Notamacropus eugenii: one gene and its partners. The protein of the gene in region 1 interacts with the protein of each later gene in a pairwise test. Links are inferred from orthologs where the notes say so. Each region holds a gene or a part of one and is shown in the gene's direction. Other genes may lie near its edges. The genes, in order: TRIB3, ATF5 and ATF4.

Region 1 (11,142 bases):
TGGACTAAATGACTTCTGAGATCTCTCTCCAGGTCTGCGATGCTTTCATTCCAATCACTAAATCTATCTCAGTCTCAATTTCCTCCACTGTGAAATGAAGCTGTTGGATTAGATGGATGATCTCTAAGGCCCTGCTTAGCTCAAACTTTCTCAGTTCAAAGATCCTTTACAACTCTGACCCTGAAAAAGTGTGATTCTTCAATTCTTAGATTCTATAATCATAATTTACTTAACATTCAAACTCCAGAAGGCTTTGGGATCTAAATGCAAATAAGTATGGAAAGGGAAAGTGTTGGGAGATGGGGCCATACCTTATCTATTCTTAGGCAAAATCTTGATGGTGTGTGTGTGTGTGTGTGTGTGTGTGTGTGTGTGTGTGTGTGTGTGTAGAGTTGGTTTATCAAGTCAACAAACCGAATTCAATAAACATTTGTTAAGCACCAATGGTTCTTAACCTTCTGAGCATCGGTCTTAGGGATACAGACTGGACCAGTGATTTTATTGGTATAAGGAACTCTTTAGGGAGGCACCTCCCTCTACCTATCCTTATCTACCCCTATGTAACTTAAAGTCTTAGAGTTGCCTAGGTCATTGAAAAATTAAGTGACTTTCTCAGGGTCACAACAACAGTGGAGTGGGGGAGGCTTGAACAGGTCTTTCTGACTCCAAATTTAGTTGGGTATCCACTTTGCCTCTTGGACTCCACTGGGGATAAAAAACTAAAAAAGCAATATGAACATGACTCTCAAGAAGCTTACAGCATGCTAGGGGAAACATAAATAAGTCTAACGAAAAACAATGTGATGGGAGAAGAGACTCAGACAAAGCGTTATCAGATCTAATTCTTGCACATAGGCCATTCAACGGGGCCTTTGGGATTCAGGAACACAGAGGATTGTGAGGAGAAACCCAAACAAAATGCAAGAAGGTGTTGAAGAACCTTCTTTGAGTTGTCTGGGAAAAACAGAGGGAAGAAAGCCAGGATTACTGGAACGCAGAAAGGGACCTCTCAGGTACATGCAAAGGAGAAAAGGCATTTTCCGCTGCAAAGATGCCTTGATGATCTGTTGTAAACAGATTTTCCCCAATAACAAATACAGCATTACATAATTTAGAGCAAAAATCACCTTTTCAACAGGGCTGGAAGATCCCTTCCTTATAGATTTCCTGGTTTTACAGATAAGCAAACTGAGGCCCACAGAGGTGAAAAGATTTACTCAAATTCGAATAGCTTATGAGGAACAAATGGAATTCAAAGTCAAACCTTCCAACCTTCTATTACACCAAAGTAGAATGGGGGCAGAATAGTTGGAGGAGGCTTAGGGAGGAAGAGGGACTTGAACCAGGCTTCATATCCCATTTGGTATAAGTTAGGAGTAAGGCCTGGACCGAGGGCTTTTGGGAGCTCTGACCTTAAGCCTTAATGTTTCCTCCCACTCTTAGACAGAAACATGATGCCTGCCCGAGAAAGGCCGTGTGCCTGCGGCCGTGGTCCCCATGAGGACCATGGCAAGTGGAATGGGGTCCGTTCCTACTTGCACCTCTTCTATGAGGACTGTGGAGGTGCAGCCCACCCTGAGGAGGTGGAGGACCCCACTCCAAATAACCAGGACACCTGTGACTGGTCCTCTTCCTTCTGGAAGGTAAGTCTTCTCCTCCCCACCCTCCAAATTGCTGGACTTCCTGCCTTAGCCCAGAGTTTGAATAGTCGGGATTTTAGGAACTCAGAGGGAGAGGTCACTGTAGATTGGGGTGATCAGTAAAGGTTTCTAAAATGAAATAATATTTGAGGTATGCCTTGAGGGACAGGTAGGATACAAAGGGGAGTTTTCAGGGTGAGTCAAGGCTCCTGGGTATGAATGAATGTGGGGAGGGGGACCTCTGGGGGAAAGACTGGCTTGGCTGGAATAGGTCTTCTTGACTCTGATACCAACTCTCTATACACTGTGCCAGGTTGCCTCTCCATCTATTCAAGTTCACTAAATTGGCAAAATTGATACGATTAAATGCTGTGGGACTATGGGCAAACAGGTGTGCTATTACATTGTTGGTGGAGCTGCGAATTAGTGAATCTTTTTGGAAAGCAAACTGGTAATATGTTGATAAGAGCAACAAGACTGATCATACTCTCTGATTCAGAGATCCTACTATCCATAAGGAAGTTATACTGGAATAGTCCAGTGGATCTCATCAACATGGGTACTCTATTCACTCATGTGGATTGCAGCTCATCCATGCTTTCTCACCCCATACAAAACTTGTCCATGTTTTCTGTAAGTCATCCATAGAGAATCTACCCAATATGCTACAAGTCTTCTCTGGTTCAATTAATATTTCATGGATACCAGTAGTATTCAGATTATCTGTATTTTATCTCTCAGTCTTGGTACATGAACAGTCCATCTCCTTTTCCAGTGATTCATGTCCTTGTGATACCTATTACATCATCATACAATGGCGTCATCATTGGTAATATGTTCCAGCCTAATCACACCCACCATGGATCTTTCCATTGCTGTTTGGGTCAGCCTTTTGTGGCTATGAATTTTCTGAGCTTGTATTCCTTGATTCACCTGGCCAAGATATACATGGCACTCAATTATTTCTACAGACTACCCCTCAAGTGGAATATCATAATCTGAATGATATTCATTTTTCATCCACTTGGTTTTTCCTGTATGACTGCATAGTTCATATGGGTACTATGAAAAGGAATAAAAGACCAACCTATACATTATTCACAGCACCCTATACCATCCCCACCCACACCCCCCAAAGCAGGAACAAGGTAGTATAATGTAAAGGAATTCCACACCATTGGATTTGATTGATTGAGGTCAGAGTACTTGGGTTCAAGTCCCAGTTCAAATCTACTACTTAGGTAATCTTAGGATGTTACTTATCCTCATTGGGGCTCAGTTTCCTCGTGTTTAAAATGGCTAGAAGGTGGGAAGACAGATGGACTACCTGATCTCTAAGGTCCTTTCTGAATCCTATAAAAACCACTTACAAAATCAAACCAACCCATTTTTACTGACAACCCTAGGTATGGGTGTCAGCCACTTGCCTCCCCACAGCCCTTCCCCCACTGCCTGTCTTCCTCTTCCCAGGGAGTTGTGTCCTTGTCGCTCCTCTTGCTGCTCCTGGGAGCCGCTGCCCTGACCACGGGCTATGCTGTGCCGCCTAAGTTGGAGGGCATCGGAGCAGGAGAGTTTCTGGTTCTGGACCAGCGAGCAGCTCAGTACAACAAGGCTCTAGGCACTTGCCGCCTAGCGGGTAGTGCTCTCTGTGCTGTTGCTGCCATCCTGCTGAGTACTTGCATGCTCTTGGTCCTGTTGACCCGACTCAAGCCAGAACCCAAGGCAGAGCCTGTGGACAGGGAGGATGAAGAAGCACAGCAGCGGGCACCCATCTTATGCCAGAGGCCCCAGAGCTGGTGGGGATCTGGGCTTCCCCTCCACTGCCATGAGTATCCCCTTTGGTCCCTCAGGGGTTCATCCTATCCAGCCCAAGTATAAGTCCTAAGCCTAACTCAGGAGCAGCCCAATTGTGGGAGGAGGCATCACTGAGTCAGAACTTGGGGTCCCTGCCCTTTGGGGCTCACTCTTCTGGTCTACATCCCTTTTTCCTTTACTGCTCCTTTTCCTTCCTGATCCCAGTGGGGCACTTGACTCAAGGCTACTCACCCAGCCCCAGCCCCAAGAAGCTAGACCAAGGGGTGGAAATGTCCAAGGTTGGGGACCCCTGCTGTTCCTTCCCCCATCCCTACTGGGGAATGGCTAACAGGTCAGGGTTCCACAGAAGAACAACTTAGCTCTCTCTTTTTCTAGCCTGGAACCTGGATCTCATGAACTCACTCTGCCACTGAAGAACTGTGTGATTTTGGGTAAGTCTCTTCTCCCTGGGGTTGTTTTCCCTTACATTCAAGAGCTAAAAACTCACTAAGGTTTTTTCTAGCTCTGATTGTCTATGTTTATGTATTCTAACATTATGTGTACCTTCCAGCTCGAAAATTCTATGTTCCTTCCAGCTTCAGCATTTTATGGTCTGTGTTTTAAAGTTCTATATTCTAAAGTGATTTCCAGCTCAAACATTCTATGTTTTAATGTTCTGTGTTCTAAGGTCGCTTCCGGCTCTGCCATTTTGTGACTCTAACATTCAGAGTCTTTGTCTCTTCATGGAGAGAAACATCTGGGTGGGCAAAGTAATTTGGGGGGGGAGATGAGATAGGGCCCCTCTGTATGTATCCTTTCCCAAGACTGTTGAACTTCCCTCCCTCCCCATCCCCCAAACAGATGGTCCCTGCTTCCTATAACAGGCCATCATGCAATAAGAATCTCTCATACTTTCATCTTTCTTTAAAGCACTTACATCTATTGTCCCATTAGTTCCTCATAAAAGTCCTGTGAGAGAGGCAAAACTAGGATAATTGTCTCCATTTTACAGAAGAAGAAACTGAGGACCAGGCTGAGGAAGAGACTTTCCTATCTCAAAGAGAGTCCGTGGCAGAAGTGGAAAACAGACCCAGGTCACCCGATTCCCACTCCAGTGCTATTTCCAATGAACTAGCTCCCAGGGGTGGGGAGCTGGGCTTTCTGGATGGAGACATGAGTGTATCCCTGGAAGAAATTGATGTCTCCATGCTCTGTCCACCCAAGCCAGTTTCTCAAGTATCCCCATCCTGGGTCCAACAACAAGAGGTATCCTTTCTCCCATCACCACCAGGGGGCAACCTGTGCCCAGGACTGGCTTAGGGAGGGAGTTGGAGTTCATCCTGTTTATCTGAAAAGCCACCTGGCTACCAGGGTCTCAGCTCCACTGGTGTATGAGGTCACTGGCCTAACCCCACTTTTGCCTGACCCCACAGCCCTCTCTGTTCCCTTCTTCCCCTGTCTTCTCTCTCAATAAAAAGCCAGGATGGATCTTAAGAACCTCTTCTTTCCTACCCAGATACTGATGGCATGAAGGGCAGGCAGAGGTGTTGAAACCACACAGGGGAGGCACCAAAGAGGGTGGTAACCTAATGCTATGGGAAGCCTGGATAATGGGTACCTTGGGGAACACACTGGGATGTGGTCCCCATGGAGGGAGAAAACCTTGGGGTGTAGATATTTGGAGAACAGTCATTTTGAGATGGACACTGTGGAAGGCAGACACCTTATAATATGGATATCATAAAAGTGGATACTTTGAGATGCATAGTTACCTTAAGGTGTGGGCATCACTTTGGGATGTTTCCCCAGCTGAGGATGGGGACTTTGGGGTGTATCTACCCCAGGTGGGTATCTTGGGGTATGGGTACATTGGATATGGATACCATGGTGGGGGGACACTTGGGAACATAGTCCCATGGAGATTAGACACTGTAGAGGACAGATGTCTTTGGGTATGGACATAGGGAAGACAAGTATATCCTGGGTGCCCTGGGTGACAAGTGGTATTTCAGGGCATAATGACTAATTAAGGAGAAGTGTGGAGAAACTTGACACCTCCTCCCTCTTCTCCACTCAGAAAAACCTTACCTCTCTCCCCCCCTTTCCAGAAATAGAGACATGATCAGAAAGATGAGAGAGACAATAAGGCCTCCAGGTTTAAGAAGCACCCCCAGCCTCCTTGTGCACCACAAATTTTGCATTATAGTTAATCAATGAATCTATCTACAAGCACTTCTTAGACGCGTACTAAGTACCAAGCACTTCTCCAGGCTGGGGCTACAAAGATGAAAAAGAGCTCACATACTACAGCTCCGTGTAAAGAGACGTGTCATTAGGGGTGACTGGGGATTCCTAGTGAGGTAACAGTTACCCCACCTGTTCTGAATTCTCTTGCCCAGATCCCTGGGAATATTCAGCAATTCAGATACTATCAGGCAGCTGTGGAAAAGGGCAGAGGACAACTGACTCCACAAGAAGAGCCTCCCCCTGGCCAAGAGTGAGTTAAGGGAGCTGTCCTTCAGGTAGCCTAGCCTGCCAACCCTAAGGTAGGCCCCAGCCCTCACATCCCCTAGAAACACTTGAGACTGCCAGGTTCGGGTTTGTGGTAGGGAAATGAAAGTTGTATCCTTAGAGTTTTTCCTAACCAGTTCAATTCTTTTACTTGGTATAAAGACTCCTCTTTGTGGGTCAAGGCTATCTGCTCCCCCTTAGGAAGGAGGCATTACACTTGGAAACATTTCTTTCTTAAACCCCACCCCCCAATCTGTGCCCTCCCACTTCCTAGCACAGCCCCCACCCCCAATTTGGAGCCCGTCTAATCAGGCCTTCCTCCCCTGATCCTCAGACCACTGTACTTCCACCCCCATCCCTGTGCAGTGAGTCAAAGTTCCTCCTCAGAGATCCAAGGACAGGCTGTTCCCAAGACTGAGCCTGATGGTAGGCATGGATCAACAGCCTATCCCCTTCCCTCCAGAAGACAAAGGGACAGCTCCAGGGCCCTAAGTGCCAGGATCAGCCCTGGCTCAGCATTCCCACTAGATTTAGGCATCTAGCCTGAGATCCCTAGATAATCAAGAGAGAGAGGGAGGGACAAATAAAGAGAGAGACAGATAGAAAGTGAGATTCAGAGAAAAAAGAAAAATTCATCCATAGTGAAGATGTTTCTGGATGTTCAGGAAGAATACTCTCTACCCATTCACCCAAAACCAATTAGGATGGAATCTTTACTGGTGTTGAGAGTGGGGAGTTCTGAGCAAAAGTGGCCTCAGCCTTCCCCTATCTTTCCTTCCTCCAACAAGCTCTGGGAGAGATATCTCCTATACCGGCCTGGTTCTTCTTCCAGCCTTGGTTATCTCAAGGCAGCCTATGTAGTCTAAAATGACTGATCCATGTCTGGAATTCCAAGACCCTGACCTCTGACCTGCTTTGCTAAACCCAACCCAACAGCTCAGCCTGAGGATAGTGACCACATGATCTCCAGGCCTCCCAAAGAATTCCTGCATTTCTATAGTCTGACCATCTCCCAGACTACAGAGGGGATCCATAGATCAACTTCTCCCAATACCTGAATCATTGCATAGCTAATCTACTGGCAAGAAACCTGGCTATATAAAACCTGGATTTGAGTCCCCATCTCGACACAGCCTTGAGCTAAGTCTATCCCGTCCCCTTTCTTAAGTCTCCTAGTTTCCTCTTTGCCTACTCATAGCACAGAAGTGACCACAGATTCTCAAAGTTCTTACTAACTTAGGAAGCCTCCAAGGATGGGCCTGCTTGGTCCTCTGAGGAGAAGCCCAGCTAAGAACAGGAAGGTTTCTCATCAGGGTCATGACTGCCAGAGAGCAGATGCGCAGTCACAAGGTCCTTGGGAACTATCTCCTGAGGAGGAGAGAGGCCACTATCCATATTGGAGGAGAGTTCCCAGAACAGTGAGTTCACTGTTCTTTTGAAAGTGATACAGATCATTCTGGACTACTGAGAAACAATACCCCTGGGAAGAATGTTCTTCGGCATGCCCTCAAACCCCAGGATAAGCCAACCATCCATTGACATAGGAGTGGAATCTGTATGTGTGTATATGGGTAGGTATGTGTCATGGGTGTACAGATAGACTGGCAGAGTGATTTGAGGGCCAGCCTCAAAACTAGGAAGACATGAGTTCAAGTTCTATGTTTGATAACATGCTGTAACTAGTATCCTTGGATGAGTCACTTAATTTCTCATTGCACCAGGAAACTTTCTGAGATGATAAATTACAAAAAAGGTTGTTGCTTTTCATTGATGAAAGGCATTTCCATAGTGGAACTATGCCAAGGAAATCCCAGATCTGGACAATGTCCCTTCTTCTCTAAATGAAAAGGCAGCACTCAGGCATTTGGGTTACATGTTACATGAGGGTTACGTGTCCAGACACAATGGCAGGCACACAGAGTTTTGTTTCAATTCAACAAACACTTATTAAGCACCTGCTAGGTTCAGCTAGGAGGTAGCTAAGTGACTAAGTGGATAGAACAGTGAGCCTGGACTCAGGAAGATCTGAGTTCAAATCCAGCCTCAGATACTTACAGGTTGTGTGACCTTGGGCCAGTCACTTAACCATATTTACCTCAGATTTCTCATCTGTAAAATGAGCTGGAGAAAGGAAATAGCAAACCAGTCCAGTATCTTAGTCAAGAAAACTCCAAATGGGGTCGCAGGCTGAGAAGGGCAAAGGATCAATCCAGACAATACCCTAGGGAAAATTGATAGGGGGCAAGACTAGTTTTAGTTGGGTGGATCAAAGTAGGCTTCATAGAGGAGATAGAAGCAGAGATGAAGAGATGGTACTTTGAAGTACAAAGGTCACAGCAAGTAGAGATAAAGAGGAATTCTGAACCATAGTTCTCTCTGGCAAAGATGAAGGGTCCTGCATGCACAAGTAAGCCCACAAACCCTTGGATACTTACAATTATGCCACTGTCAGCTTCACACCTGCCTTATAAGCATCATTCAAGAGGGTTTGCCCAGATAAGTAACATCAATTGAATAGCTTAAAAAAAAAAATTAGAGGGATCTTAGCAAGTCCTCTCCTCTCTGTGCCTCGGTCACCTCACTTGGGAAATGGTGGTGATAATCCCTGCCCTGCCTGAAGGCTGAGAACTAGACTAAATGATCTGAGGTTCCTGCTAACTTTAGTATCCAGGATTCTATAGAAATTAATTTGTATTTTGAAAATTTCATAGAAGACCTCTGAAACCATTGAAGAAAATCCTAGGACTCAAGGTAAGTTGTTGATTAATTAATAGGCAAGGGCCACACTATCTCCATTCTCTAACAGTTGAAAGGGGCTGACCTGAAAGCAGGGCATGTGGTTTCAATGTCTCTAATCTTTCTTTCTCTCGTCTCTCTCTCTCTGTCTCTCTCTGTCTCTCTCTGTCTCTGTATCTCTGTATCTCTGTATCTCTCTCTCTCTCTCTCTCTCTCTCTCTCTCTCCTTGTGACTGTTACACTAAACTTCAAGACAGCTCAGTGGAATGGGAATGAAACATATAGTCTGAAGCCATGAGGTAGCTTTCTCTGGAAGAGGCTGATGAGTCCAGAGATGCTTATGGGCACATAAACATACATATATATAGATAAATAGGTACCCATAGAAGGAGTAAGGAACCTGCGTATACAGTCAGGTATGTCTTCATACAACAAATACAAATGGACAAACACAAACACAAAGCGACACGTCCATAAACATATATTCAGACACACACGTGCTTGTGGAGATACACACATACCTGCAAACAATCCCATGCATACTGTAGCTATGAGTACACAGGCCCCTTTGGAACATCTATTCTGTGATTAACAAACTCGGATCTATCCGATGTCTCACTTGTCACAATCATCCACCTTTCGGTGCTTGGGGAAACCTGGGTCTTCCCGGAAAACATAGAAAGCCTGGTCACTCTCCCCAGTTAAGGTTATCCCTTCACTCATGCCCTCCACACTCCAGCTAGAAAGTGAAGTTGGCATACTCCTTGCTCCTCATTGCCACTTACCCCTGTGCTGCCATCACTCTGCAGTCTTTGTTAATTTGAGATGTATTCTATCCCTTCATGTCACCTCCTGGCACAGGTGTAGGCACTATGCAACATCCTGCACTAGCAGCTCACAGCAACTGGTATTTTTCTTAAGCCTCCAGGAAGGGAGGTTTTATTATTATTACAGCTATGTTATTAATTATTCAGAAAGGAAGTATCACACTTGTTTTGTCCACCAGGTAGTGCTAAAGCCAAGCCATCTACTAGTCAAGTTATTTATGAGTTCCCATTCACCACCTCCAGCTTCCTAGCAAGCCAAGTGACTCAAAAGCCTGAGGAATTAAAACTTATATTGCCAGTATGCTGACTTTTCTACTAGGGGATGATGTGATATCATTCAGAATGGCTCAAACATTAGGAAAAAATCTGTAACCTACTACACTTCTGGAGCTTCCCTTCTCAATCAATCATTCCCTCAAAACCATATCATATACTCACTTAATTCAGTGATATATTATGGTACCATGAAAAGAACCATGGCCCCAGAGTCAGGGAATCTGGGTTCAAATCCTACTGTGATGCTACCTGTATAACTTTGGGCAAGTCTTTTTACCTGCCTGGGCCTCAGTTTCCTCATCTGCAAAATGAGGAGATTGAATTAGATGGCCTCTGAGGGTTCCTTCCCTCTCTAGATTCTAAGCACCAATGATACAACCATGAAATATACAAAATTCACTGACTACAAGGTTTACTAGGCATAGCAAAAATTCAAGGAAAATTGTTAGGGGTCCCCACATGGGGAGCCTTTGCCCAACAATCTCCAAGAAACCCCTTCCTACCATTTCCTGGACTCCCATTTTTCTTTCTGGCATGCTGAAGGAACAGTTACAAAGCACTGAGCTCCCCTATAACTCAAGTGAAATTCAAGGAAAGGGCCTGCATACCTGGGACCCCAACTATGATATGGGGCTATAAGCAAGGGAAAACAGAAGAAGTATTGGAATCACCTCCCCCATCCCAGAATAGTAAAAGTGAAAAGACAGCTAAACAAGGAGCTGGCCTCTCCATCCTAGGCTGACTACCAAACGCCTTTTTTCAAAAGTTGATAGTTTCTAATCACTGACTAGCTCTCTCCTCCACAATCCTGCTCTTTGATCATCTCTAGCTTTTTTCCCTCTGGGCTGTCTCAATCACAGTAGTTCTCCCTCCTCCCTGCAAATCAGACAGGAAATCTCTCTGTGTTGTATGGCAACAACACAGTCCTCAGCTGCCCCTGAGCAAACAGCTCCCAGGAAATCATTGGCCTCTGGGGGAAAGGGCAAGAGGGCAAAAGGCAGGCCTCTCGACCCATGAGCAAAATCTCACCACGTCTCCTCATCCTATCCTTGGGCCTTCTTGTGTTCCAGAGTGAGCAAACGCTTTCCCTGCCTGGCTCCCTAGCAGGGGGAAACTGACTTCTTGAGAAAATGGATGGCAAGTGAGAGGGAGGAAAGATAATTTAAAAGAATATAATAGTACTTTTTAAGTTTTTCATTTTCGTCCTCACTTCAACACTGGGAGACAGTCCCTATTGCTATCCCCATTTTACAGATGAGGAAACTGAGACAGATAGAAATTCTATAACTTGCTCAAGATCACACAACTAGGGAGCATCTGAGGTCGGATTTGAAGTCTTCTTGACTCCAGACCCAGTG
Region 2 (10,664 bases), on another chromosome or scaffold:
ATTCAATATCCTAACTTCCTAATACAGGCCTCGCTGTGTGTCCATGAACTCATATTTCTCCCAGAAACAGCAGGCGTGTCCATGTGATGGGATCCCAGTCACTGCCTCTAGCTAGCCACTGCCCATAGACCCATTTCTCATATTTCCCATAGAAACAGCAGGTGAGTCCATGTACTCCTTCTAGTATCAGACAGGACTACAATGCTCAGCCAATCAGAAAGCAACACCACCAGGATGCCCAGGCAGGATGTGGACCCCCAAATAATGGAAGAGATTTTCCCTAAGTAGGCAGCTGTGCAGTAATAGCAAAAGCTGGCTGTTAGGTAAGCTTTTGACATAGAGATGTATTGTAATATCATTACCATACATACATGCTCTCCAAAAGGGTTTTTTCATACGCCTTGTGGACAATTGCAAGCGCAGTTCCACTGTGACTAGGATGCCTCCCCATTACCTAATTCCATATCAACCCCTCCTGTCTTTTTAATATTCATAATTTCTGTTGTGAAATTGTATCTTTGCCTGATAAAAATCCATCTTGCTTTCTCTGAAGTTGCTGGTTCCTCTTGGAACTTAGTCCACTCCATGTGAAGCGTCATTCTCCATAAATGCCTATTCTTGGATTAGAGGTGGTCGATTCTGAATTCTTTGAGATGGTTCCACCATAATATGTCAGGAAACCACAACACCATAACACAATGTAATATGACATGTCTATAGAAAACCAAGGTAAGAAAAGTCCCATTATTCAAGAAAGTGTCTGGGTCAAGGGGCCTTGTCCTTGGCAGAAGAATGCTCCTGGTCGACTTGATCGGGCCTTGTTACTAATACAGGAAGGACCATTTTTGGATTCACTCAGAGAGCAAAGCAAAGCAGGTCTGCCATGTCAGAACATTATGATAGGTCAAGCTCCGACAAGCCAAAATGCCTCTCTTGATTGGTCAATCCAGGTTCCAGGTTCCCCTCAAGTCTTGGGGGTTCACAATTGTTTGGGGAGGGGTTCATAGGATCCAACAGAGAAGACTTAGAAGGAGAGGCTCAGGCAGGGGAACCCCGTGTTACAAGAGCTACAGCATAGGCTGGACTATGTCACTCCACTTCTCAAGAGTCCTTAGGGGTTCCCTGGTACTTCTCAGATAAAATACAATTCAGGCCAGCATTTAAACCCCTTCACAACCTGGCCAGCCTCCCTTTTTGACTCATTTTGTTACTCCCTTTAACTCAATGCTCCACCCAAACTGGATGATGATTGTGGCCACCCATTTCCACTCTGCTTTTGCTTGGGCTGTGTCCCATGCCTGGAATGCCCTCCCTCCTGAGAGACTCCCTGCCTCTCTTCAGGGTTCAGTTCAGGTGCTACCTTCTACAAAAAGCCTTTCCAGATTTCTCCAGTGGTTCCTGCTCTTTCCCTCTGGTCTTCTGACCAGCTCCTCCAGAGCCATCATCTCAATCCCCCATAGGTGGGCTACCTCAGGACAGGGAGACTGGCAGTAAGGATGCTTTCTGCAGATTTAGGGCAGTGCAGTGACATTTAGAGCCCTGCAGCTTTGGCCATAGTCAGTGAAAGATCACACTGTATTGTCTTGGGAATTTCCTTTCCCCCAAATAGACAATTACATTTGCCACCCTGCTGGAAACAATTAGGTTGCTGTTGTATTGGCCGGGTGAAAGTAAGGGAGACTTCCAGAGGTCAGGGGCTGCTCCCGGGTTCGTTTTGTACCCCAGCACTCAGCACGGGGTCTGGTTGGAGTGGGGTAAACAGCACTTGGTGGTTGAACTGCACTGTTACAGGAGCCAGTCTGAAGAAAAGGGAGAAATCAGAGGAAAAAGCCAGGGCTGGGCAGCCCCACTGGGGATGCCTGGACACCCTGCTACTACTCAGGCTCTGAAGTCAGTGCCCCTAAACAGGCTGCCTTTGGGGGACAAGCCCTACCTGGGTCTGAGAAATGCAGGTGGGGTAGGGTGGGGTGGGGCGGGGCAGTTGAGGTGCTTCTGCTTCTAATCCACAGTGGCTTCGAGGAGGCAGCTCCCGGGGTCCTGTGGGAGGGACTGGGAGGAGATGAAGCTGGGGGAGATGGTTGCTATGGAGATGTGCCACTGGGAGGCTGGTTACCCTGTATACTGAGGGAGCTTGCACCTGGCTGGGGAGGGCTAGGAAGAGGAGGGCTCCCAGGTCAGGACTGGCAGGGGCTGGTGGGTAGGAGGCCCCTGTAAGGCGGAGGTGGGGTGCAGGCTGTCCCCTAAACCTAGAAGCCTCTTGTTCCTCCTCTTGGCCTCTGGGCTTCGAGGTTCAGCTCACTTTCCATGGGAAACCTTTACTGGTACAGTGCCCATCATCCCCTCCTCCCGCTAGCATCTTCCCCCTGGGGTTACCTGCTGTTTATTCACACCATCTCCATCCTATGTGGACTTAGTTGTTTGCCTGTTGTCGACCCCATTAGACTGGGAGTTGCTTGGGGGCAGGGGTTAGGCTGGTGTTCACTGGAACGGTGTTATTGAGTCATTAAGTTGTGTCGGACTCTTTGTGACCCTATTTGGGGTTTTCTTGGCAAAGATAATGGAATGGTTTGTCATTTCCTTTTACAGCTCATTTTACAGATGAGGAAACTGAGACAAGACTTTTTCAGGGTCACATAGCTAGTAAGTGTCTAAAGCCAGATTTGAACTCTGGTCTTCCTGACTCAAAGCCTGGCAGTCTATCCAGTGCACCAACTAGCCACCCTAATTATTACTGACTTATAAACACATGCCAATATCTCTAGAGAAGCCCAGAGTCTCCAAGCTGGAGGGATTTTACCTGATACGGGAACCAGTCTGGGACTGAGGCTAGTTGCCTGGGTTGCCTTGAACGTTCCAGGGGACAGTAACCCATAATGATGTTTGGGACATACAAACTTGGCTAGAAGATGGACCATGCCACTCCCTTTCTCAAGAGTTCCTTTCTCCATGCCCTTTGTGACCCAGATGTCCAGAGACCTGAACCCCTAACCTCCCTAGTGGGCAGACCCACTTAGAGTGAGCTGGTTTTTGACCTGCTTCCCAGCCTTATCTCCCCCTGCAGCCATCTCCTGATGACCCCATGTCTGACAGCAGATCTAGGGTCAGGGGGCCACTGGGGGAGCTGTAAGGAGGCCTAGAGGAGGGAAATAGAGAGTGGGCAGAGGGTGAATGTTCTAGGGGTGCAGAGGCCCCAGGCAGGTCCAGCTGGTGCCCACAGCCCAGTCCAGCTTCCTTTCTGACTACACTTCTCCATGCAAGGAGAGTTCATTGCCTGACAAAATTCCACACTTCCTAGGGGCACATGATGGACTCCTGCCCACGTTGCAATAGCAGCCCCTCTACCCCACAGCCCCTAGTGCAGCTACAAATGTGATCACAACCTGGCTCTCTGCTTCTCAAGCACTTGCTATGTGTGACACATTCTGTTGAACCCGGAGGATGCAAATATGAACAAAAAGGTAGTCCCTGTCCTCAGGGAACTCACTTTCCAACCTAACTGGGAAGCCAGTCACAAAGGAAGGGGGGAGTCACCTACTCAGAAAGTGAGATAGGGGCCCCTCCCCCAAAATGGAGGCTGTGGGAAGACCTTGCCAAGGGAAGAAGGGGCCCCCAGGAGGCATGGAAGCTATTAGAATACCCTCCAGGAGGGTAGGGCCATCTAGTAAGGGCTTAACATTTTTTTCCTTCCTCCCTCCCTCCCTTCCTTCCTTCACTGGAAAGTGTCCACAGGCAGATGACTGGGAAGGTGAAAGGCCTTATGAGGACTTCTGGCCCAAATGGGAACATTTAGCTGGGGAGGAGAAAGAAGGCTTAAGGCTGGAGGGGGTGGGGGCTGGAGGAACTGTCTTCAAGTTCTTGAGGGCCTATAAGGTGGAAGGTGGGCCAGCCTTGTTTCCTTGGCTCAGAGAACTGGGGGAAGACGCTACTTTGGGTCAGGGCTGCCCAAGGAGGTGATGGATTTCCAAGACGGAAGGTCTTCAGTGGAGGCTAGTTGGCCTACACTCACACTGCAGAAGAGATGCTTGGTCAGGTGTGGTTGGGACTAGGCCCTGCTTTGGGAGGATCCTCAGGGAAACGGAGGCTGAGCAGGGGCCCTGAGTCAATCCCAGACAGGTGTGGGGCAGAGCACTGGCTGGAGATGGAGTCAGCAGACCTGGGTTCAGATCCTAGCTGTCACTTGTGGCTCACAGTCTGTCAAGGTTCCTTTGGAAGGAGCAGACATGCAGGAATCACATTTGTTTGTGCCTTTGCCTCAGTCAGCAAAAAGTGCCAGTCTGAAAGTGGCACACACCCTGTACGTGTGTAAAATGCCTAAGGACTCTTCCTTCTTTGAAATCGTCTGGGGTCTGGTCAGAGGGAAATAAGTGACAGGCACCTTAGGGTCAGAGGGCAGCACATGGACTGGGAGAGCTGACCCCAGTCCACAGACAGAGAATGCAACAGGACAGAGAGGTTTCAGGGAGTTGGCTGGGAAGCTGGCAGGCTGAGGGACAGAGAAAGTCCCCCATCCCTCAAGTTTGAGCCAAGGGGGTCACAGGAGGAGGATGGGGTTAAAGGTGGCCACGGGGCTAGAGTGTGCTCGGCTGTCCCAGCCCACGCACTCCCTTTCCCCTACTGACCTTCACCCTGACCTCCATCTCATCTCCAGCACTCCCCTCCTCCTCCCCATGTCTGCAGCTTGTCCAAGCCAGGGGTCCTGAAGCCCTGGGACTTTATGACACATATCTAGATAGATGGTCAGAACTCCGAGGTAATAGGATTTAGGGTTAACTCGCTGGGTCTTCTGAGTGGGGTGGGGAAGGGGTTTGGAGCGGTAGGACGTCGAGAGGGTGGGGACTGAGGTGGTCTGTCCGGTCCTAGAACTGACCGGGGCTTATGGGGGAAACCAGGAGCCTGAGGGCCCCTCCCCCGCTTTGTGCTCAGGTATTCTCCCTAGGGGGCCCCTCTGCCTGCCGCAGGATCCGGGCAATCAGGAGTTGTTGCCAGGTGAACTGGTGCCCCTAGAGAATCCCCCCACTCCCTGCCCACATCGGAGCCAGGGCTGATGCAACCTGGCTGCAATGCTGTCACCTCACTCCCTGTGCCTGGCCCCTCCGCCCCAACAAAGAGTCCCCCTCAACCCCACCCAGGTGTGTCTCTTCCCCCCCCCCCCATTCTGCGGGCAGGGCAGGGGAAGGGAGGCGGAGGGTGTTGGGTTTCTGGCTGCCGGCAGGTGGCGGGTGCTCGAGTCCGTGCGGGACGCGGTGTGGATGGGGCTCCAGGGTGGGCTGTGACGGACTGGCACCTGCCGGGCATGACTGGGGCCCACCGGGAGGGCCTGACAAGCGCGGACAGGGAGGCAGGCAGGAGGTCGAGGACTTGGGTTTGGGTCCCAGCTCGAGGCTCACTGCCCGAGTGACCTTGGGCAAGTCGCAGCCCTCCGGGACTTCTCCTCCCCAGATCTAGAAAGACCTCGGGGGAGGGATGACTAGCCAACCGGGCTCGGACCGGCGGCGGCCTCGGGGGGCAGGGGGGCGCCTCCGAGGTCTCCTGCAGGCTCCTCATTTCTTCATGCCGCGTGACTCCCCGCCAGCCCCCGGCACTGGCATGGGCGTTGCGGGAAGGCCACAGGGGGGCGGCAGGGCGCCCCGGGCGGAGGCCCACGTTGCGGGGCAGCAGCGAGGGGCCGGCCTGGATATTTAGGCCCAGCCCCTCACTGTACGGACGAGGCGGAGGAGACTTGGCAGCCCTCGCTGGAGGCCAGGGCCGGTGGGGGCGGGGCCTGGTGGCATGGGGGCGGGGCCTGGTGGCATGAGGGCGGGGCCTGGTGACATGGGGCGGGGCGCGGAGGGATCTGTCAGGCTGCGCTCCGCCCTATATCTGCTCCCGCCCAGGGGGCCGCTTCATTTCCCTTCTCTCCACCTGCCACGGTAATTTGCGCGCAGACCGTCCGTCCGCCCGCCCCGGACCATGGCCCTGTAGCTCCGTCCCGTTGCCCCCGCTGCTCCTCGGCGCCCGCCGCGCTCGGCCTCTCGGCTCCCTCTTCTTCTGCCGCCGCCGCCGCCGCCTCCTCCGCCGGCGCTTTCGCCGCCTCCGCGCCCTCCGTTGCAGCCATGGAGTGAGTACCCGGCGCCTGCGCACTGAGTTCCTGGCGTCTCTTAGACTCCCGGGAGCGGGATGGAGTAGAACTACTGGAGTGCGCTCAGCACAGGCGCATGCGCAGTGCTCGTTTGCTGTGCCTTACCCCATTTAGCGCACCTGTTAAGGAGGGGGAGGGGTTTGGTAGAAGCCTGTGGATTTTTTTAAGGGAGGGCGGGGCCCAAAGGAACGGAGGGCGGAACTTGATAGCACTTTTCTGGTGGAGTCGAGGCTTTGTGAAAGTCTTTGGAAGGGGTGGAGCTCAAAGCCCCTGATGTGGGGGAGGGGGCAGGGCTTTCCGAGCCCTTTCATGTAGGGGCGGAGCTTCGTAGATTTGGACGGGGCGGGTTGAAGGAGAGGCGGGTGTGGGTGGAGCCCTTTGTGGAGGCGGGACCTTAGGTGGGGAACAGAGGGCTCCAAGGCATTCAGGGCTGGGTTTAAAGGAAGCCTTTGAGGAGGAGGGCGAAGGAAGACGCCAGACTAGGAGGGTTTTGGGCCAGAGAGGACACGCTCTTGGCAAAGACCAGGCAGGGACCAAGCTGCCAAAGAAAGGGTGGTCGCTGGAGAATGATGGATGGGGCCAGAAAAGGAATTCTCCTGGGAGGGGGCGGGACTTAGAGTGAAGGGCCTGCCTCGGGGCGGGTCTCTTCAACCAATGGGCTGGAAGAAGGGCGGGTGCTGGTCTTTAGCCCCACCTTCCTAACACCTCTGGGCGGAGCTCGCTCTCACCTCAGCCAATGGGCTGGGGGGGTGCTGGTGTCTAACCCCGCCCCCACGCACTCCCCTTCCCTCCCCGCAGGTCCTCCGCCTCTGCCACCCTCCTGCTGAGCAGCTGTCACTCTCCCCTGAGCCTCCTTCTCCAGCTGGGCCTTGCCTCGGCCTCCACGTGCTCTCCTGGCCCTCGAAGCCCCGGCCTGTGCAGTCCTGGCTGCCATGTCTCTCCTGGCGGCCTTAGGGCTGGAGCTGGACAGGGCCCTGCTCCCAGCTAGCGGGCTGGGCTGGCGGGTGGACTACGGGAAGCTCCCCCTGGCCCCTGCCCCCCTGGGTCCCTATGAGGCCCTGGGGGGAGCCCTGGAGGGGGGGCTTCCTGGGGGCAGTGAGTCCTTGGCAGGTAAGGCAAGAGGGAGGAGGGCAGGGGGTGATGAAGGGGAGTGAGGAGCTTTCCTCCCTGACTGCTACCCCTGCCTGCCTAGGTGACGGCTTCTCAGACTGGATGACAGAGCGGGTGGACTTTACTGCCCTGCTTCCCCTGGAGCCCCCCGGTGCCCTCCCGCTTCCATCTCCATCTCCTTCCCCTCCAGACCTAGAGGCCATGGCCTCCCTGCTGAAGAAGGAGCTGGAGCAGATGGAGGACTTCTTCTTGGATGCCCCCCTCCCACCCCCCTCCCCAGTGCCTGTGCCCCTTCCTCTGCCCTCTTTTGACCTCCCCCAGGCTCCTCTAGATACCCTTGATCTGCTGACTTTCTACTGCAGTGGGGAACCCGGGCGGGGTGAGGGGGAAGGTGGGGAGGTCTTCCAAGCCCCCTTGCCCACCCCGTCGGCCTCCCGGCCAGCCCCTTATCCCATGCCACCCTCTCGGGGAGATCGCAAACAGAAAAAACGTGACCAGAACAAGTCAGCTGCACTCAGGTACCGCCAGAGGAAACGAGCTGAGGGGGAGGCCCTGGAAGGTGAGTGCCAGGGCCTGGAAGCCCGAAATCGGGAGCTGCGGGAGCGGGCAGAGTCCGTGGAGCGTGAGATCCAGTACGTGAAGGACCTGCTCATCGAGGTGTACAAGGCCCGAAGCCAGAGGCTGAGGAGCACTTAGCACATGGGGGCCATCCTGGCTGCTCTCTCAGCCCTGGCCCCACTTTCTCCCTCATGGAGGGGGCTGGGCAGTGCAAAGGCTGAGCCTTGCAAGTGAATGGACCCCCTACCTTCCTGCCCCGCCCAGGGAGGCTCCCTCTGCCTTTCTGTAAATAGGCCTTAGTCAAGGGTTGGGCATTGCCCTCGGGAAAGAAATGAAAGCGGAGCTTCCCCCCCAAGTCTGGGGCTCTGAAACAGCTCTCAGGCCTCGTTGAAGATTAGGCCAAAGGGACCAGCTGGGGAGTGGTTGGGCAAGGGCTGGTGGTGGGTATTGGCTGGGAAAAGAAGTGGTAGGGGAAAGGGGAGGAGCCACACCTGGGTCTAGGGCTTTATAACCAATAAAGGAACAGACTGTCCTGGATTCTGTCTGCCTGTCTGTCTCTCTCTTGGGGCTGCTGGATCCCAAGCATGCACCTGCCCCTGCACACAGGTTAAGGTGCTAGCTGAGGCAGACTCTGCTGTGCCCTTCCCCCCAGACGAAAGATGAATCAGTCACTCTCTAGCCCCCAAATTTTATTGAGTAATTACTAGCACCTTTGCTCTGCTCACCCAGGTAGGACTGGGTGAGCTAATAGAAATCTTCAGGTTCAAAGTTAGTGGGTTCGGAGTCCTGCTGGTTCTGAATCTGTTGCTGCTTCTTATACAAATAGGCCACCTGTTGGGGGGAGGATCCAACTGATGCCAAGAAACACGTCACAGGCCTTGGCCTCACCCCTCCCTGCAAGCCTTTCTCCCCAAATACCTGGGCACTGGAGGTTGCCTCTTCTGGTTTCTTGTCTTTTCGAACTTGGACAAATCGGGGGAAACGAAGGGAGATGCCCTTGTCGCTCTCCACCTGGGTGGGCATCAATGAATGGTCATATTCCTGCCCTGTAGGGCTTCAGTAACCTTGCTTCCCTGCCTAGCCAACAAGTATGCCAAAGGACCTATGTACCAGGTACTGTGCTAATAATAAGCACCTTGCACATACCTGATCCTTACAACCCTGGGAAGTAGCTGCTAGTATGATCTCCATATAATTGAGAAAACTGAGGTCAACTTGTCCAGGATCATGTGGTCAGCATCTAAGGCTACATTTGAACTCAGGGCTTCCTGACTTCAGACCCATCGCTCTGTCCACTCCACCACTTAGCTGCCCAAATTCCCACACTCAAAGAATTTCGGTTCTCCCAAAGGATTCCTGGGCTGTGATTTGGGGACCACCCCAGACAGAATTCCTCCTGCTCTTCACTTCTCCAGGGTCCACAGCTGAGGCCTCACATGTCCCTGTGGATCCCAGCTCCCCAGGACTCAACCCATAGGCCTTCCTAACCTGGGGCCCCCACACCCAAGAGTGTATACAATCTGAATCTCCTCATCCCCTCCCCCTAGGCCTAGACCCCTGCAATATGAGCACCATAGAAGGGGTAGAAGTGACTGGAATAAAAGCTGGGGCTCCCTGGCCCTTAGGCCTGCACTATTTGGGGGGGAGTGTCTGAGAGTGGGGCACATCTGCTGCAGTGCCCTGCCTTGATTGGCCCTTTTCTTCCAAGACAAAGCCCCCTTTGGTACTCACCAACCCTCGGGCTGCTGAATAAATTGGGGAGACAGAGAGATCGGCACATTTAACCTCCCATACGGTGGTTGGCTCTAGCCAGTGGTCAGGGGGGGCAGCACCTTCGGCCCGGACATAGGAACGAGGAGCAGGAATCACGAGGGCCTGGGTAGGGGACAGAGGGTGAGGGAGGGCAGCTGCCTGTGGCAGAACCAGCGGTGGGGGCAAGTCCAGCAGGAGAGCAGCAGGACCTGGGGTGAAAGCCAGCCAGGGGCTTGGGATCAAACCCAGGGGGCAAGCCTGGGGAGGAGAGGGCAGCAGCAGCAGGGGAGCATGGGGAGGGGAGAGTGGCAGAAGGGGGTAGGGGCAGGGGCTCCTGATGTTTCCTCAGTTCTCACCTGGAGGCTCTGGTAATGTTCTTCTAATTCTTCATCACTGAAGCCTGTGCCCAGCTGAGGAGAGGGAGGAGGCAGAAGGAAACATGGTCAGGGGTACCTTCTGTCTCCCACCCCTGAGTGTGGGCCCCTGCCAGGTTGGGCCCAGTCACAGTCACTTCCTCCAGCTCGCCCCACCCCCAGATGACCCTGCCTCCCTCTGACTCAGCAGGCGGCTCCCCACCTTGCAAATGGCCTGGAACTCCTCACTGTCCTCATCGAAGGCAGCCAGGAGAAAGCCCCCGTATCGTCCAGCCCGTTTTCCCCGACCCAAATAGGCCCCAATCACCACCAGGTCCAGGGTGTCCCCGACGCCTTCCAGATAGTCCTTCTTCAGCTGCTTATGGGGGGGAAGAACTCAGGGGCAGGACCCTGGGAAGGGCACCAGGCAGGAGGAATTCAGGCAAGACAAGACAGTGGGGAAGGATGGAGGCTGGGCCATGAGGCTGGCCTCACCTCCATGGAGCCTGGGTGCTGCAGACCAGCTGAGCAGTGGGGGCCAAGGAGAGACAGGCTGGGGATTGTGGGCAAGGAGGAGGAGGGGGTGGGGTAATGGGACAGGGGCTCCAGGGGGCGCGGTCACCTTGAGCCAGTTGTGGGATCTCTTGGCAATCTCATACGTGGCATTAGCGTCCAGGGTCTTCACCATCAGGCCCTCACAGGAATCTGGATCAGAAGACAGAGATGCCCATGAGCTGCTGGGCACTGCCCATACCCCTCTGGAGGGAGGCTCG
Region 3 (10,037 bases), on another chromosome or scaffold:
TCTGGAGTTGAGCTTGTCCAAGAGGGAGTCAGAAGAGGCAGGACGGAGGGTCATAGGCAGCTCGGGCAGCTTCTTGGCCTTGCTAATCTGTAGCAGTCAAGTCGTGGCCAATGACAGTGGGTGGCTGGTGGGAGGAGACCAGACTGCTTGCTGACGTGCCTTCATAGGGGCACCCAGAGGACCCCTCCTGACTTCATGTTAGCGCTGCAGAGGCCAGGCCTGCCTCCTCGAAGCCTTCAGAGCCTGCCCTTGGAAGAGGGGCACCCTTTGTGCCAGAGGCTGCCAGAACGCATGAATGCCTTCCCTTTGTCATGTATGCCTGTCAGATAGCACCTAGGGGAGAAAGAAGGGCCTTAGAGGGCCAAATGAAGGGGGAAGGGAAAGAAGACTCTTCTTTCTCCCCTTGTTGCCCGCTGCTACAAATGTACTATTTATTGCAATGTAAAGTCATTCTGGGGCCGGGAGATGGGGGGAGGGTTTTAATACATATTGTCATTGTGTCTTACTGTTTTGTGTTTCTTTTTCTGTTTATGGTAAGGGGCTTTTGCTGGCCCTACCTCTGGCCCTCTTACCCAGTATTTTGTATTCCCACTGCCAAATCTGAGTATTTTGCTTCTGCTTTCTCTACCTCCCCACTCAATGAGATTCTTGTACAACTGGGTAACCATCTTTACCTTGTACTTGGGGTAAAATGTTCCACATGACACCAGGTCCTCAGCATCCTCCTGAATTTGTATATTTGTCACAGTCTAGGAAGTGAAGTTCTAGGGGCCCCTTCCCAGAATCCCCACCTCTTACCCTTCATTGCCTACTGAGAAGAGTGGGTGCTTTGACTTTTTGGAGGGGGAGGAGTTGGAAAGATGTCTGTGTGGGATTCTGATTGCTTCTGAGCGATGGGAAGGATGAGAATGCACCTTCCTCAGGGGACTGGAAAGATCCACCCAATAAGGTATTTGAAGTCTCCAGTTTCCCCTCTAGCCTGTGTCTCCAAATCAGCTGTACATTAGTAGCACCTCAGTATTAAATACAAAGCTTCAAAAACAAACCAAACCAGTAAAATCAGGTCCCAGGGTCTCTGGTGAAGTAAAGGCATTTCTCAAGAGGGGAAAAGTGTGTGTGAATGTGAACCGCTTCATCCATTTAGGAAGAATTATTCCAATATATCTTCAGATTCAGACAAGATGATCTTGCCGTACAGTCAGGTAATAGCCCATAGGATCAAAAAGAAAGTCTTTGGGTAATGGTTCTATTGGACACAAAGCTATTGACTGATGAAGGGGAGGGTAGAAGAATTCCAGGTTGAGGGGGGCCAAGGTACTGCTTTCCCTTCAGCAAGCCCCCACATCGGCTCTGTTTGCAGTAACAGCTGATCCTGGAAAAGTTCTTGGCTGGCACAAGCACCTCTCCTCTTGAACGAGTTTATTTGACCTGACTTCATGTCTCAGAAACCCAAATCAATGAGGTTTTGGGGTTCTGCCTTGGCCTAACCCCCAGAAATTTAGGGTAATAGTGGGCATTTCCCCCCAACCCATGTTTGTTTGAGGCATTTTTATCATTAAAGGAAAGAAGTAACTAGTACTTTCTAAGTCCATGCTCCTGATGAAAGGGTTGGCCACCATCTCCACTAGTCCCCTTACCTGCTCCTTTTGCTTCCTTTGCTGCTGCTTCATTGGGGAGAGCAAAGGTGCAGTGGGTCCTGGCAGGGGGGCTGGAAAACAATGGCCCTGGCCCTAAAATTGGCCTGCTAGAGAGACTGACTTTCCTTTCCTGGTTGGGAGTGGGACAGGCCAGACTAGGCTTCCCCAGCTTGAAGCAGATGCCCATCACTTCTCTGCCCTGAGGATTCAGCCCTTGCAAGACCTAGTGATAGCTGAGCAGAGAACCAGGACAGCAGGACGTAGGGTGCTGAAAATGTCTCCTCGGTCACCATCTCTGGAAGCTCATTTGCCCTGTGACCTGCAGGGCTTCTGACCAAGCTCACAAACTGCCTTTTGTTCTGTGGAGTGCAGTATATGCAGTCCTTGATCTACAAACACATCTGGGCTGGTTGGGGTTGGGGGGTGTCTGGGTAAGTGTTCTACTCAGTCCTGCCCAGCACCTTGTCTTTTCTCCTCCCTTCAAACATCAAGGCTAAGGGAGTTGATGACCTTTGAAAGAGTGGGAACGTAAAATAAAAACATTCTTTGCACCAGATTTGACTTTTGTGTTTGATGTAGATCAAACCTATTTTCTCCATGTCTGGAGGCTACTGGTATGGGTAGGGCAGGTTCCTCTGATCTCCCATCTGAGGGTCTTTCCTTTAACCCAAGGAGGTCTTCCTTCAGGACCAGGCAGTTGACTGTAGTGTCCCCATCCTTTCCCTTTGCAGCTTAAAAAGTGGCTTGGTAAGGAGTGTTGGGAGCCAAGGAGAGAACCCCTTTACTTGGCGATGTGCAGCATTAATTTTTGTAGGACTTTGCAGTAATTCAGAAAGATCACATGGTTCCTGTTCCCATGTTTCAGAATCTCTGTGTCTACATACAGAGTGGTTATTCTTCATGTACACACACACACACACACACACACACACCCACCCCCGGATTCTAAGGAGGGAAGACACATGTTGAATTGGACCAAGTATGGTTTCCTTGAAATGTCCCAGTGCAAAAACAACACCTCCTAGGCATGGACCTTTTCTCAGAATTACTCACAAGTGACCCAAATAAAACCCACAGATGTACAAAGGAAATCCCTGGACCCTAAGTTCAGAACAGGACCAGAAGATGCCCCCTCCCCCCCAAGCTGCCTACCAACTTGCTCCCTAATTGGGGATGGAAATTTCTCTTTCCCAGAAAAACTGATGAATAGACTACAGAAATCGGGACATTGCATGCAGCCATCCTCGGCCCCTTCCATTCCCTCCACCCCCATTGCCATTTTCACTCCAAATGAGCCGACTCCCTCTTTTGAGTACTGATATGAGACCACTGCAAATTGTTTAGAGCTGGAAGGGACCTTAGTCCTTATTTTACACATAAGGAAATGGAGGCCCAGAGGATGACTAGTCAATGTTACCTGCACAGGTGATATGACAAAGCCAGAATTTGTACCTGGAGCCATTAACCTTCCCCCTCTAGCACACAGTTTCCAAGTTGAAGTTGGTTCATAAGATTTAGAGCTGGGAGAGATTTGAGGTCATGGAGGTCCCCCCCTCCCATTTTATATCTAGTCACTGTAAGGAAACAAAAAGGCAGAATTTGAACTTAGGTCCCTTAACTATACAAGGGGTGATCAATGTCTTCAGTCTCATCTGCACTAACCCTTAGTTTAAGGCTTGACATATCCGTGGAGTCTCAATAAAGACCTAATTAAGGGGGATCTGGCATGGTTTCTTTCCCTTACTTCTTTTCAGTCTCAAGTGAAGGCAGGTACAGTCAGCTACTGTATTATATTATAAAGGGGTAGCAGGTCTAGGAAATGGGCCAGGAGGGATCATGGGCTTTTTGAACCAAAGGGGAACTTTGAGGTTACCTAGTTAAAACCACTCCCCCCACCCCACACATTTTAACAGTGACTACCATTGGTTCACCGGATTTGCAATCATCAGAGCCCACGTCATTGGGCAACAACAAACAGACCCAGAGAAGGTAGAGTGATTCTCCAGGATTCAGGGCTGGCAGGACCCTTGGAGGTCACGTGATCACCCAGAGGAGGAAGGTGACTTGTCAGTGTTGGGATCTGAACCCACCTCCTGGCTGAGATTCCATGCTGCTTCTAACTAGTGGAAAAAAATACTTTCCGAATCTGAGGGGAGGGGGAAGACCTGAGAGGTTGCCTAGGACCAGTTTTTCAGAGGAGAGAACTGATGCCCCCAAGGAATGAAGTGATGGCTCCAGATTATAGGTAGCAAGTGGCAGAGCAGAAATGGAAATCCAGGGTAGGTGCTCACCTGCCTGCACACCTGGTCTGGGTAAATCCCATCTACTCTCTCAGCCTCTGATTTCTTACTCTGTTCCAAGAGAGGGCAGTCTGCACACTCTAGGCAGGTGAATTTGACATGTTTCTGGTAAAGTTTGAGACATATGGAAGAGATGGGTCTGTGAATTCAGGCACCATTTCTCTAGTTTTCAGGAAAGTATTTTGACAGTCCTTCACACCATCCTCATGGACTAAAAGGAGAGAGATAATGGTGAGACTATATTTGGGGGATTTGGAAGGGGATGACTGATCCAATTGGAGGGAATAGTAACCCTAACCCTTTTAAGGCCCGAGGCTGATTATTTTTATCTGTGACCTGGATATCAGCAGATGCCAAAGCTAGCAATGAGCTGACGTGCTGAATGACAGAATGAGTCCCCAAAGACCTCAACAGCCTTGGATGATAGAACAAATCTAGTGAATTGCAATGAATAGGGATTAAAGTTAAGGCCCTACATTTGGACAACTGCACAAGGGCAGGATGGATGGCAGAGGCATGGCGAGACAGTTGCTGTGCAAACAGTATGGGCATTTTTGTAAGCAAGAGTCAACAGTAAGACACAGCTGCCTTTAAAAAAGCTCTTGGAAACAATGCATTTATTTAAGAGGTGCACCATGTTCAAGACCAGGGAGGGGAGTCCTGCCATCTTTCATTCTGTCAGCCTACACCTGGGGGATCCTGTTTGTTTCTAAAACTAGGACATTTGGCAAACTGGATTACATGCCAAACAAAGATCAGCTGGCAGGACCAGGGAGTGTTTAGCCTGAAAAAGAGGAGGGGATAGGGATGAGGGAGGGGGGAAGAAAAAGGAGATGTGATGGGCTGCCAGGGGAAGGGAGATCAAATTTGTTTTGGTGCCAGAGGGTGAGGAGAGGGAGGCAGATCTCAGCGCAACTCAAGGAAAACTTAGCAATTCTAGGCTCACAATCCCAGAGTTGGAAGAGCCCATCCATGGACATCCAGTCCAAGCCGCCCCAACCTCCTTCCAAGAGAGGATTCCCTCTGTTAGGGCACGAAGGCCCCGGATTTTTGTCCGTTTCTGTCCCCAGAGCTGCTCTGCGGTGTTTGGACGGCACCAACTTCGAATCTGCCTCCCTTCCCTCTCGGTTTCGTTCTAAAGGGACACCCCCTAAAACCTGTCCCTCCTAAGCTCGCTCTTCTAGTGCACCCCGACAAGGACCACCCCTCCCTCTCCCCACGTCTAACTTAAATGCCCCCCTGGAGTGCAACAGCTGTTTTTGGCCTTGGAATCAATGACTGGGTGGGGGTGGGAGTCTGTCACAACCCCCACCCCTGGGGATGCTTTCGAGTCAGCTGTCTAGACCAGCGGCCCTCCACTTGGCCCTTCTAGAGAAGCCGGTATTTTGGGACCGTGCCCCTGCGCCTGGACATTGATCTTTCTTCGCTTTCACCCAATGTGATCGATCAATCAATCAATCTTTCCAACCAGAGGTAGAAGAGCGCCTGGTGGGAGGACGTCCAATTCAGTCCATTAAGGGGGCAAGGAGCGTCCCTCCACCCCCACCCCGAAGGAGGGGCGCCTCAAACTAGAAGAGGCCGACCCGACGGGGTGAGCCGCCCCGCCCTTCTTGGGGGTCAGGAGAACCAGCCACCTCGGACCGCGTAGCGTGGAGGTCACTGGGCCTCAGTTTCTCCCCCTCCCCCCCGTAATAAATTCGGGAGCCGGGCCAGCCTAGGCCTCAGCCTCCCGTCTCCGGAGGGGGCGGGGCTTCGGCCCGAGCTTAGAAAGAAGGGGGTGGGGGATGGGAAATCCGGCTTCGAGGCCGCCCCAGGCCCTCAGAGCCTGCAGGGACCATGGGTAGCCTGCCGGTGGTGCCGGAACCCAGAACTAGCCAGGGCCTGACTGCGTGGGGGTGGGAGTGACTGTCGCCAGCCACCTGTCGGGCCCCTCCCCGCCGCCACGGCCCGCCCGACGCCATCCCCTTCCCGCGCCCGCCGCCTTCTTCCAAACCCGCCAGTCGTTGGACTCTGGACCAATGGGAGCTCGAGCTAGGGGTTGAGTCATCCCGCTGCGGCCAATCAGCGCTGTGGCCTCACCCACGCCCCTCTTTCTTCATCGAGTCTCGCGCGATTTCTGAGTTTCCTCGCGACTCCACATTGATGCAAACAACGCCGCATAGATTGTCACGCTCTACCTCCCAGCCACTCCCAGCCCCGCCCTCGTTCCCGGATGCTGGAGTGAAGCGACCGCGTCTTGGATTCTTCCGCAATCCGCTGGGGGGAGAAGGGAGGGGAGTTGTGAAAATAGTCCCTGACCTTCCGCCAGTTTGGGGGAGATTTTAAAAGGCATTTGTCTCTTCCCTTTCTTTGGCAGCCGAGAATCGTGACCGGAGCTGGAGGAAGAGAAGGGGACCGAGAGACATAGAGCGACGGAGGTCCGGGAGAGCGACCACGTGACGCCGGCGGAAGAATACCTAGGCAGGGGAGGCCGCTCGCGTCACTGGTAGCGCGCAGTATAAGACGCTGGAGGCCGGCGCGGCCGCCATTTTCACGCCCGCCCAAGCAGAGACTCAGTGGTTCCCGTGCTGCTCGGCTCGGCCCGACCCTCGCCATCCCCGACGCCCGCCATGGCGTTCTAGAGGCGGCAGCGCCTGCGGCAGCATCGGCCCTTGCAGCGGCGGCGGCAGCAGCTCCGGGCTCTGCAGCGGCAAACTCGAGCGCGAAGCCATGGCGTGAGTGGGGGGGAGGGGGAGCGGCCGCGGGAGGTGGGCCTCGGGCTTCCCGGGCTTGGTTTGGCTGTCTGTTCCGTACGTGTCGGACTAACGAAACAGGTCGCGCTGTTGTCTGTCTCTAAACCCGTTTTGGGGGAAAAGTGCGCAGTCCCGACCTCCCCCATGCAAAGCGTCCGTGCCGCCCCCCTTCGGGGGAGAACGAGCCCCCTCTTGTGACGGGAGGGGCTGGCGCGGGCGCGCTGCCAGCGCCAAACGTGGCAGGGAGGGCGCTCCAAGGAGACAAGATGGCCGGCGCTTCCGCGCGGGGGTCGGAGGGGGGCCGCGGGGCGGGGCGTGAGTCACTCTGGCCGGCGGGGGCGGGGCGGCGCCTCGAGCCGTACATGGACTGCGGGCGGAAGTGGGGCCCCGCCCGCCCTCGGGGAGGGGGATGGGCGGCGGGGGTCTCACGGCTCGCGCCCGGCTCTTGCAGGCTTTCCAAGGCCTCCAGCAGCAGCATTGCTGTCAGCCGAGACTCCTCTGCCTTCCTCCAACTGACGAAAGCCCCGCAGCATGACGGACATGAGCTTCCTCAACAGCGACCTGTGGTTGGGGGACTTGCTGTCCCCCTTGAGCCAGTCGGGTTCGGCGGTTGAGGAAAGCCTGAGCCCCTTCGATGACTACCTGGAGGAGGCCAAGCCCTTCAAATCGCATGGGCTCCCCAGCGACCAGGCTAAGGCAGTCTCTCCCGATTGGCTGGCTGTGGATGGTGTGGTCAACGCCACAGACTACGGCAAGGGTAAGAGTGGGGTGGGGGGCGGGGCCGTGGGCGGAGGCTGCCCGCCCCCCTGCTCGCTGCGGCTCGTGGTCCCACCTGGTCACCGCTCACAGGGTCACGGGCTGCTTTGTCTTGCAGAGGATGCCTTCTCCGGCATGGATTGGATGGTGGAGAAAATGGATCTGAAGGAGTTTGATTTCGATGCCTTGTTGGGTATGGATGACCTAGAATCCACCTGCTCTGAGCTCATTGCCACGTTGGAAGACTCATGTGATCTGTTTGACCCCTTGGCCTCTACTAACAAAGATTCCCCTTCAACAGTCAGTTCAATTGGCCAGTTCCCCGAAACTCTACTTGAACCTGATCATGTCACCCCCCTCACCTCCCATCCGTCTTTTCCCTTTTCTGTAATGGCCCTGATCTCCACGCCAGACCATTCTTTTAGTTTAGAACTAGGTAGTGAAGTGGATGTCTTGGAAGGAGACAGAAAGTCAGAAGCTGTTTATGGGGTGATGCCTAAGGACATCAAAGAGGAAGAACCCCCTTCAGATAATGACAGTGGAATTGGGACCTGTACCAGCCCCGAGTCCTACCTAGGCTCTCCCCAGCATAGCCCCTCCACTAACATGGGTTTACTGACTGAGAGCCAGCTCTCTTCAGATGCCACATTTCTCTCAGCCCGCCTGAAACCATACGACCGTCCCCTTGAGGACAAGAAAGAGAAAAAGGTAGATAAAAAACTAAAGAAAATGGAACAGAATAAAACTGCTGCCACGAGATACAGGCAGAAAAAGCGGGCAGAGCAGGAGGCCTTATCTGGGGAGTGCAGAGAGCTAGAACAAAAGAATGAGGCTTTGAAGGAGAAAGCAGATGCCCTTAGCAAAGAGATTCAGTATTTGAAGGATTTGATAGAAGAGGTCAGGAAAGCCAAGGAAAAGAGGAAAAGTCCCTAAGTTGTTGGGTAGTCATGTACTTTGTGTGTATATAGGAGTCTTGTGCTGTCTTACTCAATAAATTATTTTGTAGTAAAAGTGCAACTTGGTAGTTTTAATGTGCTTCATCAGAAGGCTGGACTCTGAAAACGCTTTTGAGAGGGCAAATTTTAGTTGGAGGAGGGAACCAACACAAGGTACCCTAGATCAGCTGGAGGTTGGGAACAAATCTGAAGGACAACACAATAATGAGAAAACTTCAGGGCCCTGGAAATGACGCCTGTGTCCCTGGGTATCCAAAATACTGAACCTACAGAAAAGGGAACGTCAGGAATCTTTACCCGTAATTTGTACGTAGAGTAAGGAGAGAAGCGTGTCTGCTCATAAGCTTGAGATTCTTTGTGAGACTGGGCAAGTTAAATTACTATGAGCCATAAATTTATTACTCCAACCCTAGCACTGTGTGGAAGGGGGTCCATAGTTTGAAAGTCAGGGATCTGTCTTCCCATTTAGCTTCATAGGGCAATCCATCTTGGCCAGTCAACTCTTCCCATCCTGGCAAGTGGACTTGCCCCTACGTTTGGATGGGGGTTTTGAGGAGCCCATGATAGCTGTCATCAGATAGTGGTCCCAGCATTAAATCTCAGAAATGAATGAGGCTTGAGAGATAAGCCATAAAAGCATGCTTGCTATCGAGCCATCCTTGCGTCAGGGAAGGGAGTCAAGAAGAAACAGATGGAAAGGGAATGATACCAAGGGTAAGAACGAAGAACGTCATCTTTTGGTCGTAGAGACTGCCAGCGGAACAACGGGAGGTAAGGATGGATGGCAGGAAGGGCAAACATTCGTTCTAGTTCTCCCCCTGCCTCCCAAAAGGAAGAGAATGACGAGTTGCCCCAAGAACAGTGAGTGCATGTTCCCAAGAGGCATTTAGCTAAGCTATGTGTGCCTTTTGTCAAGAACGGCTACTTCCTTTCTTTTTGACCCAGGTCACCAAACCTGGCAGACAGAATGCACTATGGAGACCAATTGGAGACTGTAGCAAAACCTTTGATTAGATGGAGGCATGTGGGCTTAGATGATAAGATAATAAAAGTCAGTAGGTTTGGAACTGAGTTAACAGCTAAGCTCATTAAAGGTTCTAAGTTAAGAATCAGGGCCTGGTCACCTGGGGATGTTTTCCTTTCTAACATTTAACGTTTCTATTAAAGCCTTAAATAGCTGATACTATGCTTATCAGATGTGCTGGTAATTGAAGCTGGGAGGGAAAACTGACAGGTAGGTGCCCTCCCAGGACACCAAAAAAAAAAATGTCAACAGGCTAGAACATTGGGTTGAATTTAATAAAATAAAATGTAGTAGGGATAAATATGAACTCATGTCCAAAAACTGAATTCAGTATAACTTAAAAAAAAATCAAAAGGATGAGTTTTTAAGGGGTTGCAAGTTGAGTGGATCAGCCATGTGATGTGGTTCAGCACAGTCCGGAGAAAACTTGGGGAGGGGGTAGCTATAGTCACAATTGTGGAATGATTCAACTCATCAGCTCAGAATCAGAAGGCAAATTCAAGCTGGACATCAGAAAACGCTCCTGTCAGGTGTCCAGAAATGGAATGGGACTTATTGGGAAAGTGACCACTCTTCCCTGCTTCCAGGTCCTTTGCTGTGTCTGCTGTGGTGAGGATTCCTTTTCAGATATG

The links.
Region 2: the proteins of TRIB3 (region 1) and ATF5 interact in a two-hybrid assay, tested with the Homo sapiens proteins (2 studies listed by BioGRID and IntAct). The link is inferred for Notamacropus eugenii from reciprocal best matches to the Homo sapiens genes TRIB3 and ATF5.
Region 3: the proteins of TRIB3 (region 1) and ATF4 interact in binary tests that used the Homo sapiens proteins (3 or more experiments, as listed by UniProt). The link is inferred for Notamacropus eugenii from reciprocal best matches to the Homo sapiens genes TRIB3 and ATF4.

What each region holds. Positions count from the first base shown.
Region 1 is NC_092872.1:432,033,153-432,044,294, forward strand, and holds the start of TRIB3 (tribbles homolog 3), read left to right. Parts: upstream 1-5,852; 5' UTR 5,853-5,980; intron 5,981-11,142. Other genes in the region: NRSN2 (neurensin-2), read left to right, coding at 1,452-1,643, 3,111-3,436, 3,831-3,886, 4,447-4,754. UniProt on the Homo sapiens protein: Inactive protein kinase which acts as a regulator of the integrated stress response (ISR), a process for adaptation to various stress. Inhibits the transcriptional activity of DDIT3/CHOP and is involved in DDIT3/CHOP-dependent cell death during ER stress.
Region 2 is NC_092876.1:12,045,557-12,056,220, reverse strand, and holds ATF5 (cyclic AMP-dependent transcription factor ATF-5), read left to right. Parts: upstream 1-5,859; 5' UTR 5,860-6,097; intron 6,098-6,916; 5' UTR 6,917-7,050; coding exon 7,051-7,228; intron 7,229-7,310; coding exon 7,311-7,924; 3' UTR 7,925-8,323; downstream 8,324-10,664. Other genes in the region: LIG1 (DNA ligase 1), read right to left, coding at 8,531-8,617, 8,705-8,797, 9,518-9,661, 9,895-9,948, 10,115-10,267, 10,514-10,596.
Region 3 is NC_092874.1:298,748,395-298,758,431, forward strand, and holds ATF4 (cyclic AMP-dependent transcription factor ATF-4), read left to right. Parts: upstream 1-6,513; 5' UTR 6,514-6,651; intron 6,652-7,120; 5' UTR 7,121-7,200; coding exon 7,201-7,426; intron 7,427-7,543; coding exon 7,544-8,358; 3' UTR 8,359-8,442; downstream 8,443-10,037. UniProt on the Homo sapiens protein: Transcription factor that binds the cAMP response element (CRE) (consensus: 5'-GTGACGT[AC][AG]-3') and displays two biological functions, as regulator of metabolic and redox processes under normal cellular conditions, and as master transcription factor during integrated stress response (ISR).